Nothobranchius furzeri: one gene and its partners. The protein of the gene in region 2 interacts with the protein of the main gene of each other region in a pairwise test. Links are inferred from orthologs where the notes say so. Each region holds a gene or a part of one and is shown on either strand. Other genes may lie near its edges. The genes, in order: bnip2, bcl2b and bnip4.

The links.
Region 1: the proteins of bcl2b (region 2) and bnip2 interact in a two-hybrid assay, tested with the Homo sapiens proteins (3 studies listed by BioGRID and IntAct). The link is inferred for Nothobranchius furzeri from reciprocal best matches to the Homo sapiens genes BCL2 and BNIP2.
Region 3: the proteins of bcl2b (region 2) and bnip4 interact in a two-hybrid assay, tested with the Homo sapiens proteins (2 studies listed by BioGRID and IntAct). The link is inferred for Nothobranchius furzeri from reciprocal best matches to the Homo sapiens genes BCL2 and BNIP3.

The regions. Positions count from the first base shown.
Region 1 is NC_091744.1:67,577,040-67,581,866, forward strand, and holds part of bnip2 (BCL2/adenovirus E1B 19 kDa protein-interacting protein 2), read right to left. Parts: intron 4,791-4,827; coding exon 4,726-4,790; intron 4,413-4,725; coding exon 4,236-4,412; intron 2,123-4,235; coding exon 1,940-2,122; intron 1,861-1,939; coding exon 1,758-1,860; intron 1,688-1,757; coding exon 1,556-1,687; intron 1,450-1,555; coding exon 1,363-1,449; intron 1,290-1,362; coding exon 1,191-1,289; intron 1-1,190.
Region 2 is NC_091751.1:52,804,364-52,809,712, reverse strand, and holds the start of bcl2b (apoptosis regulator Bcl-2), read right to left. Parts: upstream 3,784-5,349; 5' UTR 3,553-3,783; coding exon 3,019-3,552; intron 1-3,018. UniProt on the Homo sapiens protein: Suppresses apoptosis in a variety of cell systems including factor-dependent lymphohematopoietic and neural cells. Regulates cell death by controlling the mitochondrial membrane permeability. Appears to function in a feedback loop system with caspases.
Region 3 is NC_091752.1:32,879,786-32,884,612, forward strand, and holds part of bnip4 (BCL2 interacting protein 4), read right to left. Parts: intron 1,392-4,827; coding exon 1,285-1,391; intron 1-1,284. UniProt on the Homo sapiens protein: Apoptosis-inducing protein that can overcome BCL2 suppression. May play a role in repartitioning calcium between the two major intracellular calcium stores in association with BCL2.

The DNA of each region.
Region 1 (4,827 bases), on a different chromosome or scaffold from region 2:
AGCTGCTGCTCTCACACCGGAATGAGAAGATCTCTGAACGCCGACGCTCATATAAATAAATAATGTAATTTTAACACACGTAATCATACATCGGAGCTTTAATATTGTTAATAATCATCTCGCTTTACACTACAGTGGACGGCGTGCATCCTCCGTGGTGAAATACCCATCCATCAGGATTATAATAACTAGTATAACACATCACATTTATCCCTGTCTCTGTCTTCCTCGTGAAATAAATGAACGTTAATCTTACCCGGTAAAAACATGTTCGCTGCAAATCTGAGGGCTGCTAGTCCGCTTGATTGGTCGCTGCAGTTAATCTCCGTCCTCAGTCTCCATCAAAGTTATTAAAAAGCAAAACAAGTTGAGTTTACATCCTTGTCTGTTAGTGCAGCCAACCACGCAGCAAGCTAAAACCATTTTACTGTCAAATCAACTAAATAAAAGCGATAAAAGGCTACAAACTGGCTTGTTTTGACTAGCTTCACTGGAGTTTCAATGGGTGTAAACGATCTTTTTGCTGTCCATCATGGTGAAGGGGGCGGTGACATGAGTGGCGTGACGTCACGTGCAAAGGGTCAATAGGACAGGACAGGTGGTCCACTCAGATCTTAGGGTTAAGGGTCACTCTTTTCAGAAAAAGAATGTTTAGATTTTAGAAAAAGAAGGTTGCTGGTTTGAGAGGCTTTGCTAAAGCACACAAAAAAACCAAACATAAGGTTTCAGCTTTCCCATTTTGATCCGATTTTAATCCTCGGACACTTTGACAGCAATCTTCTCCTTCAGACAAGTGGTCGAAGCATCTCAGATACAAGCCAGGTCAGCAGAGGTCCCAATGACAGTCAGGATGGAGAACAGGGGAGAACTTTACTTGAATGTAAATGCTCTGCACTTTGGTTTGAAATTCTCTCAGAGGTGAATCATCCTCAACAATCAAGACAACAGATGAGTTCAGGTTGTTACTTTAAACATGATGTGAATTCTGCTCGTGTTTCATTTGAAAATGCAAACACAGCACAGCTTCCAAGAGTAAAATAAAGATGGAAGAGTGTAAAATACAAAAATGATTAACGTCTTTGCTTGAGTAGATTCCAATCTACTATAAATAATGTAACTAAATACCCGTTACAGCTGTGACTTTAGCTTGCAGACCTTCAGACACGTTAGCAGCGCTCCAACGTACTTACTGTTTGATACAATCTGGTATGGACACATACTCCATTGGAACGAGCTCAGCGAGGTCCGTCAGGCTAAACACAAACTGGATTTTCTGGCTAAACTTGGAGCTGTAAAAGAAAAGCAGAAAATGATTAAACAAATATAAATAATTGTGTTTACCACCCTGAACATTTCTGATACCTTATGAAAGGTTTTGTGAGAGCCAGCAGGGTCCGAATAAACCAAGAAGGGTGCACGATTATCAACGACTTCAAGTTCTTCCGTAACCTGTGTTTGAAAGAAAAATAATGAGTAAATAATGGCTCAAAGTCTCAGGTTTTCTACTTTAGTCGAAGCTTTACTTGATTAGAAGGATGAGACGATGTCGACTCACCTCCTATCGATCTGCTGATAACACTTTCGGAGCCAGCCGACCGTCGGCATCTTCTTACGAGAAGTCGCCCCGTTTAAATAAACAATCATATAATTCTCAGCCACCAGCAGCTCCAGAGTGCCAATGACGTATCTGAAACAGGAAACCGTCGTTAGCTTCACGCGTCATCGCTAAAGCACTAAAACGAGGCTAATGGGCTCACTTGAATAAATTGTCCATGATGTATCTGTAATTAGGTTGGTTGCTCTCAGGCATGAAGCACACGGCAAACACAATTATAGCATTCAAACCATCGCCATAGTAACCTGTAGAGAAAAACGCTAACATTATGACATGTTTAGAGTTTTTTTGTTTAGTGTGTGAACTACATGAAAAGGTGCTGACCCCCGTGACTGATTACTCTCTTGTAGGGCTCAATAGCCTTCATATCCACTCTGTGGTCCTGATCTCCAAAATGGAAAATCCTCCACCGTCGACCTTCTTCCCGCTCCTCTGATGCGGATAACTCCTGGACCGTCTCCACACCTTTCTGTAGCACTTCTGTGCTTTTGGGCTTGGGAAGATCATCTGAGGAAGAAAATACATTTTAAGCAAAAAGCTAAACACCCATAGCTCTTGTAATCCAGATCCGATCGTTTTTTAATCAAATATTCGCAGTTCAATCGGGCGCACTGAACAAATGATTGGTTTTGATCTTTTGCATCTCTGCAGCATGCTTTTCCCCAGATTAAAAACCAAAATTCACAATACGGCGTTCTTTCTTTGCGATTTTTAGAGAGAAAAGGCAAAAATCCTGTCGATTCACAATGAAAATCAAAGATGTTCTTTCACAACAAACCGCTTTTGTTTGTAAACGTAGAGCTGCATAGTTTCATAAAACTGATGTCATAACATCAACTGGGGTTGTATGAACTAGTCGACTAGTCGACTTCACGGCTCTGTAGTGACTTTTTATGCCTGTCATCGACTAGTCGCTGTCACATGATAATGACCGACAAGATGCAGTCCTTGGAAAAGACAGCAGGTGACGAGCCCATGCGCGTCGGGAGGCGACGCACTGGTATCAGACACCCGCCGTAAAACGGACATTTAACTAAATTGTGACCTTTACCATCTTACAATTTAACCTTCCCCTCACCACCATCCTAATCTTAACCAGCTTGTGCATGCAAAGCTCTGATCGTTGACGCGCTCCAGACATCTGCGTCCTGAGCACAGCCACAGTAACATCAGGTGTCGCCACCTGAAAAACAAATTTAACACGCAATCGTTTATGTCGGCTCATTTCCTTTTATGTTTTCTGTCTTTTATTTGTGCCTGATGCGAACCAACCGAACCCCAACCCCCCACCCCTTGCGCCGCTTCAGGTGTATGACGTCATCAACGACTAGTCAAATTAGACTCGATTTTCATTACTTGACTGTCGACTTTAAAAAAAATTAAGTCATGCAGCCCCAACATCAACAAAGTACTTAAGTGATCAGGTACTTCAAGCATGCAACGAGAGGAATCAAAACCAAAATTGTGAAAGCAAATCACACAACATGTTCTTTAAGCTAAGATTTCCTTTTCATTTTGAAAATACGCACTCATTTTATTACTAAAGTAAAAATGCCAAGACCACACAACAGATGGTTAAAGTAAAAACATCATTTTCCAAGCAATGCTGCGCTGTTTTTTATGCCACAGCAACAGCAAAAAAGTAGATTCCAGTTTTTTTTCCTTTCATTTCATGTTTGCAATATTAAATTAATTTTAATTTTTCACAAACATCAAAACAGCTGATTTATTAAACTGGTGACAAGGTGATACCATTTCCCCATGAACAGAAAAACTCCAAACAAATAATAATTAAAAATAATAATAATAATAACATATATATATATATATATGAAAGCAAAGTTGAATTAAGAGGAAGTAAGGAATGATGGGAAAAAAGGCATTTGTCTGAAAACATGATCGGACGACAGACGCTGATTGACTTGTGTTTTCCAAAAGATCAAACAAGAAGAAAGTCTGTCCAAGAGTCCTTACCCCACGGGGGAGAGAAACCTGCTGCTGGCTTGCAGCCTGTTTCCAGGCAGACAAAGGAAGCGGTTCTTCCAAGTGAAAAAGAAGAAGGCGGCAGAGTGGAAACACAAACACAACAAAGCATATTTAACCATACATGAGGCAGCAAACTGCCAAAGTAAACCTGTAAATCATCTAGAGGTGCAAGAACCAAGTTCAACAAATAAAAATGTGAAGCAGGGCGCTTCCTCAGGACCACAAAAGAGCCCCAACTTTTAAATCTAAATTCAAACTTTCATGTATTCATCAGCCTATGAATGACTGTTTATTATGCTGCACCGTAACTGCTCACCCTTTAACTTTTATCGGATTCTTAAATCTGAATTAAATTTGTGCATCTGATATTTTAATTATGCTGTTGTGTTGATTTAGCTGTTCATGCTCCTGGAAAGTGCCTCAATGTATGAAATGTGCTATATGGATAAAGATACCTGGCCTTCTCTTCTAACTGGACTCAGAGTGGGGAACCTTCAAGTATTTAGCTCACCTAAGGAGTGATGTCTTTACATATTTTGCTTTAACAGCAGAAACTAAAACAAAGCTAGATAAAACCACAGTTCCAGGGCCAAAGCAGATGTGGTATTTGTGTTTTCCGTGATATACTTCTTACCTTCCCATTCAAACTCATTGCTGTTGTCTGACGGCGTGTCGATGGCATCCAGATCCAACTCTGTGCTTTCCTCCAGCTCATCAGAGAGGATGGAGCCATCGCTGCGGTCAAGAGTCAGGCTGATGTCTGGAGCACTGAGTTTTTTCTTTGCCTTCTTGCTGTGGTTTGTTGCAAAGCCTAAAACAGACAAAAATATGCTTAGTGGTGGTTGATTTAGTTCCCAAAAGCAGATAAATGGTGTTTTTTTTTTCTGATTTGATACTCACGGGGGTTTCTGCAGAAATAAATGCAATACTTAGAATAAGTCATAACTTACACAAGTCAGGCTGCTGAGCCCTCATCGTAGTTACAGTTGAACTTTAAAATGCAAAAGCAAGGGAAAAGCGTAGGAGCAGCAACATTTCTCTTAACCTATTACCATGTGGGATCTGACAGGGGTGAGGGACCACAGATAGGTTTTCTGCAGAAATGTACAAAGTGACTTGATTACCAGGGTCGACTTCCTCAGAAGTTCCAAACAGCTCCTCTTCAAGCTCTTCCTCCTCTGGGAGGGGCCTAACGTTTAATCAGAAGTAATCATGACTGTTTAAAA
Region 2 (5,349 bases):
CAGTAAAGTGTACAAATGCAACCAACGAGCTCATAAAAACAGACAGTGGAGTTCAGAAACGTTATCCAGAGCGCACGCTGAATGTACCTCAGTTATTAACGGCCACATAATAACTGACAAAAGCACCTCAGGAAATTCCCCACCTGACAGGTATTCAAATGAAAGCAAATCACTATCAGCATTGATCTGTGTGGAAACTTGATCTGAAAATAAGCCCTTTTTCCCCCATCAGGATAAATCTGTCACAACTGACCCAAACGGCAAACATAAGCCTTCATATGATCCCTAAACATTCCCCTGGATTAGAGGATACTCTGTTCCTCACTGCAGTGGATCCAGTCATCTCCACTCAGCTGTAAAACACAGACTACGATGACCTACATTACTGTACAGTGAGGTACAGGCTCCGGGGATTTGATGCAGGCATCTTTGCAGCCCAGTCTGCAATACGCAACAAGAAACAAGTCTGGAAAGAATAAAAAAAGGACAATAGAGGTCCAACCTCATTGTACAACAGAAAACTGTATGTTAAACACAGAGCCTGCAGACTAGTGGTATGTGGCACAACCTGCCACTACAGGGGGGGCAGACACACTCAAGGGGAATGTTAAATGGTCCTATCCACTAAGATGAAACATTCAATATGAATCATTGATGTCTCTTCCTTTCATTTGCAAACACATCATATTATGTATAATAGCTTCCAGCTAAGATGCACCATAAATGTTGTGTTCTTCACTAATTTAGAGTTCAGTCGAGGATGTGCAGCAGCTTCATTTTCTCCGGTTCTCTCAGAACTAATTGTGCTTGAATCATCGGGTGGCAGAAACCTGATGTTTAGTGGTGAATAAAACTTTTTGCGAACAAAACTAAAAAGTAGGGCTGCACGATATGGGAAAACCTGCAATATGCGATAACAATGATTAATATTGCGATGACGATATTACTTACGATAAATAAAAACTTAACTCAGGAACAAAAATAATCAAAAACAAAAAAAAAAAACTAAAAAAATTACAAAAAATTCCTAAAAATAGAAAAGCAAAAGATGTGAGGAAAGGGAAAAAGAAAATGAACAAGAAAAGGCAATCAATGGATCCCGGGAAAAGCAGAATCAGCAGAAAGTGCAGAACAAAGCTAACTAAGGTGTTTGCTAACCATCAAAATTAAGTGCCGTCCACATCGGGGGGCGGGCATCTAACCTATGAGAACCCACCCAATTGGCCAAGTGGGTGAAGAGCTCTTTGATTTGTTAAAAAAATGTCATGCTTCCATTTTATTGACAGAATGCATTACGTGTAGCAAACATTTGAGCTGACCATTCATTGCAATATTTATCTGTTCTTTGCAATATGCATATTGCACATGCTGATATCGCGATAACGACATATTTGCGATATATTGTGCAGCCAAAGCTTATTTATGATATGAAAGCTCAATCCTAATAGGGTCACAGGAGCTGGTACCTATGTCCAGAGGTGAGGGACACCCTGGACCAGTCCACACAGAGACAAACACTCACTCACACCTAGGGACAAATTTAGAGACTCCAAGCAACATAACACTTGTGTTCTTTTACTGTTGGAGGATTCTGGGGTATTTAGAAATAACCCACACAAGTTGTGCAGGTGGAATTTGAGCCAACAATGCCAACTCATCCGCCACTCAACCCAAACTCCACCTACACAAAACTAATCTTCTACATGAAATATGAAGCAAATTAAGAGTTCACAGACAGATGGAGCTGCTATAAAATCAGAGAAGAGTGCCTAATCCTGGTTGTCCAAGATAGGAAGTCTGTGCACATAGAAATCTGAGATGAACCACAACAACCATCTGGTCATTGACATTGGATGAAAATTGGCATGAACAGCTTGTCTGACACTCAAACAAGTGATTTCCTCTTTTATCCAGGCCCATGAATGCACCATGACCAAACAGCAGTTGAAAAAGCAGACATTTTCCCCTAGTCCTTGAACTCACCATTGCTTATTCACACTGGCAGTACAAATCTTCTATATGGACGTTTTCACTTACAAAATATTTTTAATTTAATCATAATTTTGAAAAATTATATTAAATATCAGTAATGGCAGGTCAGGGCTGTTATTATTACTATCATCATCATCATCATTAATTAATTTGTTTTAAAATGTATTATTCTGCACGACTTTTTGAAACACCACCTATGCAAACTGCATGTTCGGCCTTTGAGAAGTCAGGAAGTGTGCATCATTTGGAAGGTATGACAAAATAAGAGCATACAGCATGTGACCCCAAAAAACTAATAGCTTACTTGTTTTGATATTAAAATATAAATATTAATTGGATTGTACAGGTGTATGATTCACGTGTGTTTTAATAACACACACACACACACACACACACACACACACACACACACACACACACACACACACACACACACACACACACACACAATAAAGCGCTCTGACAGCTGAGCCCGCTATGCCCAGAGGTTTTAGCACATTAAGCCTGCAGATCTCAGTCTGGCGCCCTCCATCCTGCAGGAATCATCACCTAGCGCATTTCGTCACATTGAAATCATTCTCTGTAGAACACTTTGAATACAACTAAATTAAAACATAAACATCAGAATTTACTCTTATTTTTCAAACTTCTAAAAGTTTCCCTCAACCATCTGGTCCTATGTGTTTTCATGGCGGAACACAGATAGCTGCGTACGTAGGGAGGTGTGACAGAGAGCCTTCACGTGATTGGTCAAAACAATGTTGAGAGTCAACTCAATCAACCAATCAGAGCAGCTAACACATGAAGGCTCCTCTCTATCAACGTTTGCGTTGACGTGCGTCACACCCCCACAGCAAATTTTTTTTAATTAATGGTCGACCTCACGTGTACTTTCGATATGAACCGGAGGTTCGTCAGAATGCTCATTTAGACCTCAACCAGACGCCCAGGCGCGCACATAAGCACGATATCAAAGGGTGAGCTCATGCGCCCCCACTCTCCTGAACCAGACGGAACCAGACCTACCCATCCCCCGTTATCTTCTATCCAGCTGTTAAGAAGAGGACCGTTTAAATATTCCGTCATCCACTCTGCTATGGTGTCGACCTGCGTTGCCATCTCCTCTCTGGACGCGCACTCCACGCACACTGTGCCCCCGAACTCGAAGAAAGCGATAATCCGGCCCCAGTTCACCCCGTCCCGGAACAGTTCATCTATCACCTCGGCGAACCGGGTCTTGGCCGTGGCGTTGGTGAGGTACAGCTGCCGTGACATCTCCGTAAAGTCCAACTGGTAGAGTCTCTCCAGCTCGTCTCCAGCCTCCCGCATGACCCTGTGGATGTCCGCGAGCGGCTCGGGCTGCTGGGAGATCCGTCTGCAGTCCACATCGGGGCCCGGTGATCCAGCCTCTCTGCACCTGCGGACCACAGTCGGAGAGCGGTCACCCACTGAGCCGTTATTGGCGACAGCACCGTCATCGAAGCCCCACGCGAACCCCCTCTTTGAGAGTTTATGGCAGATATAGTTTTCCACGATATTGCGATTCCACTCGTTCGCCATCCCCGCTTAATGTGGCATCTAATCTGATCCCAGGTCGCTCTAAATACGGTGCATTATGATTAAAACTGCGCGCTGGAGACGCGCACGGCACAGACGCGTCCTGGGCTGATCAGTGAAATAGAGGTGGTGGGGGGACTTCTGGAAAGCCTCTGGGACCAAATCAGGCATAAAGCAGTTCTAGTCTGAGAAATCCTGGTTCCGCTCCAGCAGGAGGCTTCATTTCCCGGGTCTTTGGAGGGGACTCTGGTGACCTTCTCTCTGGGTAGAAATCCAGTCTATGCGGAAGAGATCGGAGTCTTTTCCTGTGAGCAGCAGCAGCCAGACGCGGATGTGCTGCGGATAAATGAATGAAAGAGGAAATAGGAAAAAAAAAAAGTTGCGCGTCCCTGAAGGGGCTCTGGGGGCGCGCCAGCAACACGACCCACCCTGAACACAACCGGACGTGGGACAGTGAGCCACGCAGAGTCGGAATGAGCGCTCTTCAACGATCGCTCTTCTAACTGAAGCTCCCTGCCCACCTCCGCCGACGCTCTGACGTCACACACGCTCAGCCTCCGCGAGCACCACATCCACCAAAACACAATCTGCGCGCATCGCCTTTCCCCGCGCCGTTAAAAGCTCGTTTGGTAAACTACCATTTCCTAGAAACCAGCTGCTTTCTTTTAACTGATTTTCACGTGGAAGAAAAAATAAAAAAATATGGTCTCTTATTAACTCTATCCACCCCCTTGTGGTCAGAAACGTGACTGTGTGATCAGAGGTGAAGATTAAAAAACAATACCTGATATTTAAATTTTTACAGGCGTTTATTTCATCATGTAAGAAAATAAGACAACGTTCCACTTCTCACATTTCCTTTCAATGGCACACAAGGTGAAGGTGTTAAGTTTGTTTGGCAGAAAAAGAAAAGTTCAACAAGAAATGAGTGAATTTCAGACTTTCTCACAAATACCAGTTAATTATAGGGAGAATGAAAGGAACTGTTATTGAATTTTCAAACACAGCCCGTTTGCATAGAGTAAAGGTGTTACATTTTTTTAACATGAGCTACATGTCATTTAAACTATGTGATGTTACCTCAGGGTAGAAGAGGAAAAAAAACAGAACTTCTGAAGCAAAAACAGAAATGGAAAACTCCCCAGTGGAGGGAAAACATGCCTTTAACTAAAATCAAATGAGAACGTCATCAAACGTGAATCATCAATTCTCACCGTCATATCTTAGATCAAATAAGGCTTTATTTCATACAAACACAAACTGACCAAAGAAACTTGGCATATTACATAAAAATCACTAACATGGATTAAATTACAACACTAACATTAGCTTTTATCACCCTTTAAGGCTTGAGATGGGTCCCAATGTTGCTCCAAGTTAGTGTTTATTTAAAACTACAATCAACAGAGCAGCAACATCCAGAAAAATGGAAAATAAACACTTTCTACTAGTGGAACAATAGCTTTAAAAGGTTTTGGCATTCAAATAGTGCATCAAAAATAATATCCCCCATGTCCTGATTCGAATGTTTGGCATTTAAGTTACATTCTTGATAAAAAAAATGGACAAAAAGGAAGACCTGCAGCGGTCTCTGAATGCAAAACTAAACACCAAAGTCAGAAACCTGTCAGTTACCTGCAACACCTTTACCTTTTAGGTGAAACTAATCTCTGTAGTGCCGTCAAAACACTTGAACTCAAACCATTGTGACAAAGGACCCAGAAAATGTGCGCTGATGCACACAACCGCCAATCCCGATGATGAAAACGGTGCCGGGGCTGCAGGTGAAAAGTGAAATCA
Region 3 (4,827 bases), on a different chromosome or scaffold from region 2:
GTAAGCTAATATGATCTTTTTGGATCTTCTGAGATGGAGAGAAAATGCAAAGGAGGAGCAGAGAAACTACGCAAATATATAAATAAACTTGCTTTTTAAAGAGCAAGTCACCCCCAAATCAACTATTTTTTTCTGATAAACCATATAAATGCATGTCTAATCGTGTTGCAAACACGTGTATTCAATAGTTTAGCACTTTAGTGCATTTTAGTTAAAATTTAAATTTTCTGCCTGAAACTGTCAGTGTTGTGCCGTTGTCAGGTAAAAACTCTTTACTGCATTTGAATTTAAATCTGCCACTGCTATTGGCTAAGAGGTATGCTATGATGTAAACTGGTACATTATGATGTCACAATGTCGTGAGTGTGTGTATTTGTTAGTGGCTCCACCCTCTCGGTATGCTAGGCAACAGCATTTGTTGCATTTTTCAAACATGAAGTGGGAGTGAAGTATGCTTCTTGTAAGAGGTGACTTGCTCTTTAAAGAGCAAGTCACCCCCAAATCAACTATTTTTTTCTGATAAACTATATAAATGTGTGTCTAATCATGCTGCAGACACGTGTAATCAATAGTTTTGCACTTTAGTGCATTTTAGTTACAATTTAAATTTTCTGCCTGAAACTGTCAGTGTTGTGCCGTTGTCAAGTAAAAACTCTGCACTGGATTTGAATTTAAATCTGCCACCGCTATTGGCTAAGAGGTATGCTATGATGTAAACTGGTACATTATGATGTCACAATGTCGTGAGTGTGTGTATTTGTTAGTGGCTCCACCCTCTCGGTCTGCTAGGCAACAGCATTTGTTGCATTTTTCAAACATGAAGTGGGAGTGAAGTACGCTTCTTGTAAGAGGTGACTTGCTCTTTAAGCAAATGCTGATATATGCACCAAACATGACACAGTAACTCACTGGGTGGGAAGAGCAGAGAGGAGGAGGGTTTTCAATCCAACGTCTGTTACATTTTAAAGAGGTTTTAACAACACGCTTCTGATGTTTATAGTTTAATAACGTAGCCTGTTTAATTGGTAGATTTTATTTTGAAATCCACTCACCTTTATTTAAATCGGTTTAAGCACAGTTTAAAAATGTAAACATAGTTTAACTAAACTGTGATTAATTTTAAGTATGCAAACAGCCCTGCTTAATTTTAAACTTGATTTAAGTTATTTTAAATCTACTTTTACTAATCACTGATGAGTGATAATCTTAGTTTAAATTAAACCTTGTTGGTGCAATCCACCCTTAGTATCTTAAATAAAAATCTTTAGTTGTTTTTTTTTTTACTTGGGTGGACTGTTCTCAGGTCGACTGGACCAGTCCCAGATCCAGTCAGCATTTTTCTTCATTAGGTTTTCGACTTCCCATCTTCTCTCTTGGAAGTCTTCATCAGACTGAAAAAGAAAAAAATGGAGGAAGATCAAGGGCTGTCAGCACCAAAGCTTGGCTTCCAATGATAATTTGAATGTTTGAATGCTGAGAGACATCAACAAAGAATTGTCAAAAACTATACGTAGTCGTATTCGTCGTCGTCATCGTCTTCCTCCGCTTATCCGGGTCTGGGGGCAGCATCCCAACTACGGAGCTCCACCCCGTCCTGTCCCCGGCCACCTCCACCAGCTCCTCCGACAGGACCCCAAGGCGTTCCCGGACCAGATTGGAGATGTAACCTCTCCAACGTGTCCTGGGTTGACCCGGGGACCTTCTGCTGGCAGGACATGCCCGAAACACCTCCCCAGGGAGGCGTCCAGGAGGCATCCTGACCAGATGTCCAAACCACCTCAACTGACTCCTTTCGATCCGGAGGAGCAGCGGTTCTACTCCGAGTCCCTCCCAAATGTCTGAGCTCCTCACCCTATCTCTAAGGCTGAGCCCGGCCACCCTACGGAGGAAACTCATTTCAGCCGCTTGTATCCGCAATCTTGTTCTTTCGGTCATTACCCAAAGCTCATGACCATAGGTGAGGATTGGGACGTAGATCGACCGGTAAATCGAGAGCCTGGCTTTCGGGCTCAGCTCCCTCTTCACCATGAGAGATCGACTCAGCGTCCGCATCACTGCAGACGCTGAACCAATCCGTCTGTCGATCTCCCGATCCCTCCTACCCTCACTCGTGAACAAGACCCCGAGATACTTAAGCTCCTCCACTTGAGGTAGGACCTCTCCCCTGACCCGGAGTTGGCAAGCCACCCTTTTCCGGTCGAGAACCATGGTCTCAGATTTGGAGGTGCTGATCCTCATCCCAGCCGCTTCACACTCGGCCGCGAACCTACCCAGCAGGAGCTGAAGGTCAGAGCTGGATGAAGCTAGGAAGACCACATCATCCACAAAAAGCAGAGACGAGATTCTCCTGCCACCAAACTCGACACACTCCACACCACAGGTGCGCCTAGAAATTCTGTCCATAAAGATAATGAACAGAACCGGTGACAAAGGGCAGCCCTGGCGGAGTCCAACCCTCACCGGGAACAAGTCCGACTTACTACCGGCAATGCGGACCAAACTCAAGCTCCTCTGGTAAAGGGACTGAATGGCCCTTAACAGAAAGCCACCCACCCCATACTCCTGGAGCGTCCCCCACAGGGCGCCCCTGGGGACACGGTCATAAGCCTTCTCCAAATCCACAAAACACATGTGGATTGGTTGGGCAAACTCCCATGCCCCCTCCATCACCCTTGCAAGGGTATAGAGCTGGTCCACAGTTCCACAGCCAGGACGAAAACCACATTACTCCTCCTCAATCTGAGATTCAACCATCGATCGGACCCTCCTCTCCAGTACCTTGGAGTAGACCTTTCCAGGGAGGCTGAGGAGTGTGATCCCCCTATAGTTGGAACACACCCTCAGGTCACCCTTCTAAAAGATGGGGACCACCACCCCGGTCTGCCACTCCACAGGAACTGCCCCCGATGACCACTCAATGTTGCGGAGACGTGTCAACCATGACAGCCCTACAACATCCATAGCCTCGAGATACCCAGGATGAATCTCATCCGCCCCCAGGGCTCCGCCGCTGTGTAGTTGTTTGATTACCTCAGCAACTTCTGCCCCCAAGATTGGACAGTCCATCCCCAGGTCTCCCGGCTCTGGTTCCTCCTCGGAATGCGAGTAGGTGGGATTGAGGAGCTCCTCAAAGTCTTCCTTACACCGAGCGACTATAGCCCCAGTTGACGTTAGCAGCTCCCCATCCCCACTGTAAACAGTGTGAGCGAGTTGCTGCCTTCCTCTCCTGAGGCGCCGGACAGTTTGCCAGAACCTCTTTGGAGCCGATCGATAGTCTTTCTCCATGGCCTCACCAAATTCCTCCCACACCCGAGATTTTGCCTCGGCAACTACTACTGCTGCACCCTGCTTGACACTCTGGTACCTGTCAGCTGCCTCCGGAGACCCACAGACCAGCCACGCCCAGTAGGCCTCCTTCTTCAGCCTGACGGCTCCCCGAACCTCTGGTGTCCACCAGCGGGTACGGGGGTTGCCACCACGACTGGCACCGGCCACCTAGCGACCACAGCTAGCAACAGCCGCCTCAACAATCGCAGAGTGGAACAAGGCCCACTCGGGGTCAATGTCCCCCACTGCGGTCAAAGCTCTGTCGGAGGTGGGAGTTGAAGACCGTCTTGACAGGTTCTTCTGCCAGGCGTTCCCAGCAGACCCTCACTATGCGTATGGGTCTGCCAGGTCTACGCTGCATCTTCCCCTGACATCTGATCCAACTCACCACCAGGTGGTGATCAGTTGACAGCTCCAGTCCTCTCCTCTCTTCACTCGGGTGTCCAAAACATACGGCCGCAGGTCAGATGATACAACTACAAAGTCTGTCATCGACCTGCGACCTAGGCTGCCCTGGTACCAAGTGTAACGAATGGGCATCCTTATGTTCGAACATGGTGTTTGTTATGGCCAAACTGCGGCTTGCACAGAAGTCCAATAACGAAACACCACTCGAGCTCAGATTAGGCGGGCCGTTCCTCCCAATCACACCACTCCAGGTCATGCTGTCATTGCCCACGTGAGCATTGAAGTCCCCCAGCAGGACAATGGAGTCCCCTGATGGAGCACTATCTAGCACTCGACCCCGGGACTCCAAAAAGGGTGGGTACTCTGAGCTGATATTTGACCCATAAGCACAAACAACAGTCAGGACCCGTTCCCCGACCCGAAGGCGTAGGGAAGCTACCCGGGGTAAACCCCAACACACAGGCAAAGAGTCTTGGGGCTAACAAAAAGCCAACACCAGCCCTCCGCCTCTCACCCAGAGTAACTCCAGCAAAGGAGAGTGTCCAACCCCTCTCAAGGACTTGGGTTCCAGAGCCAATGCTATGTGTCAAGGTGAGTCCGACTATATCTAGCCGGTACCGCTCAACCTCTGCCACAAGCTCCTGCTCCTTCCCCACCAGCGAAGTGATGTTCCATGTCCCAAAAACCAGTTTCGTTGTCCGAGGATCGGACCGCCAAGGATCCCGCCTCGGTCTGCCACCCGATCCACACTACACCGGACCCTTCATGTTCCTCCTGCGGGTGGTGGGTCCATAGTTGGATGAGCCCATGTATGCGGTTCGGGCTGGGCCCGGCCGGGCCCCATGGGCGAAAGCCTGGCCACCAGGTGCTCGCTCACGGGCCCCAACCCCAGGCCTGGCTCCAGGGTGGGACCCCGGTATCCTTCCGGGCCGGGTACCCCGACTCTTTGATTGTATATCCACGAAAGATCCTCTGAACTGTTCTTTGTCTCACCCTTCACCTAAGACCAATTTGTCATGGGAGACCCTACCAGGGGCACAAAGTGCCCCAGACAACATAGCTCCTAGGACCATTAGGGCACTTAAACTCCTC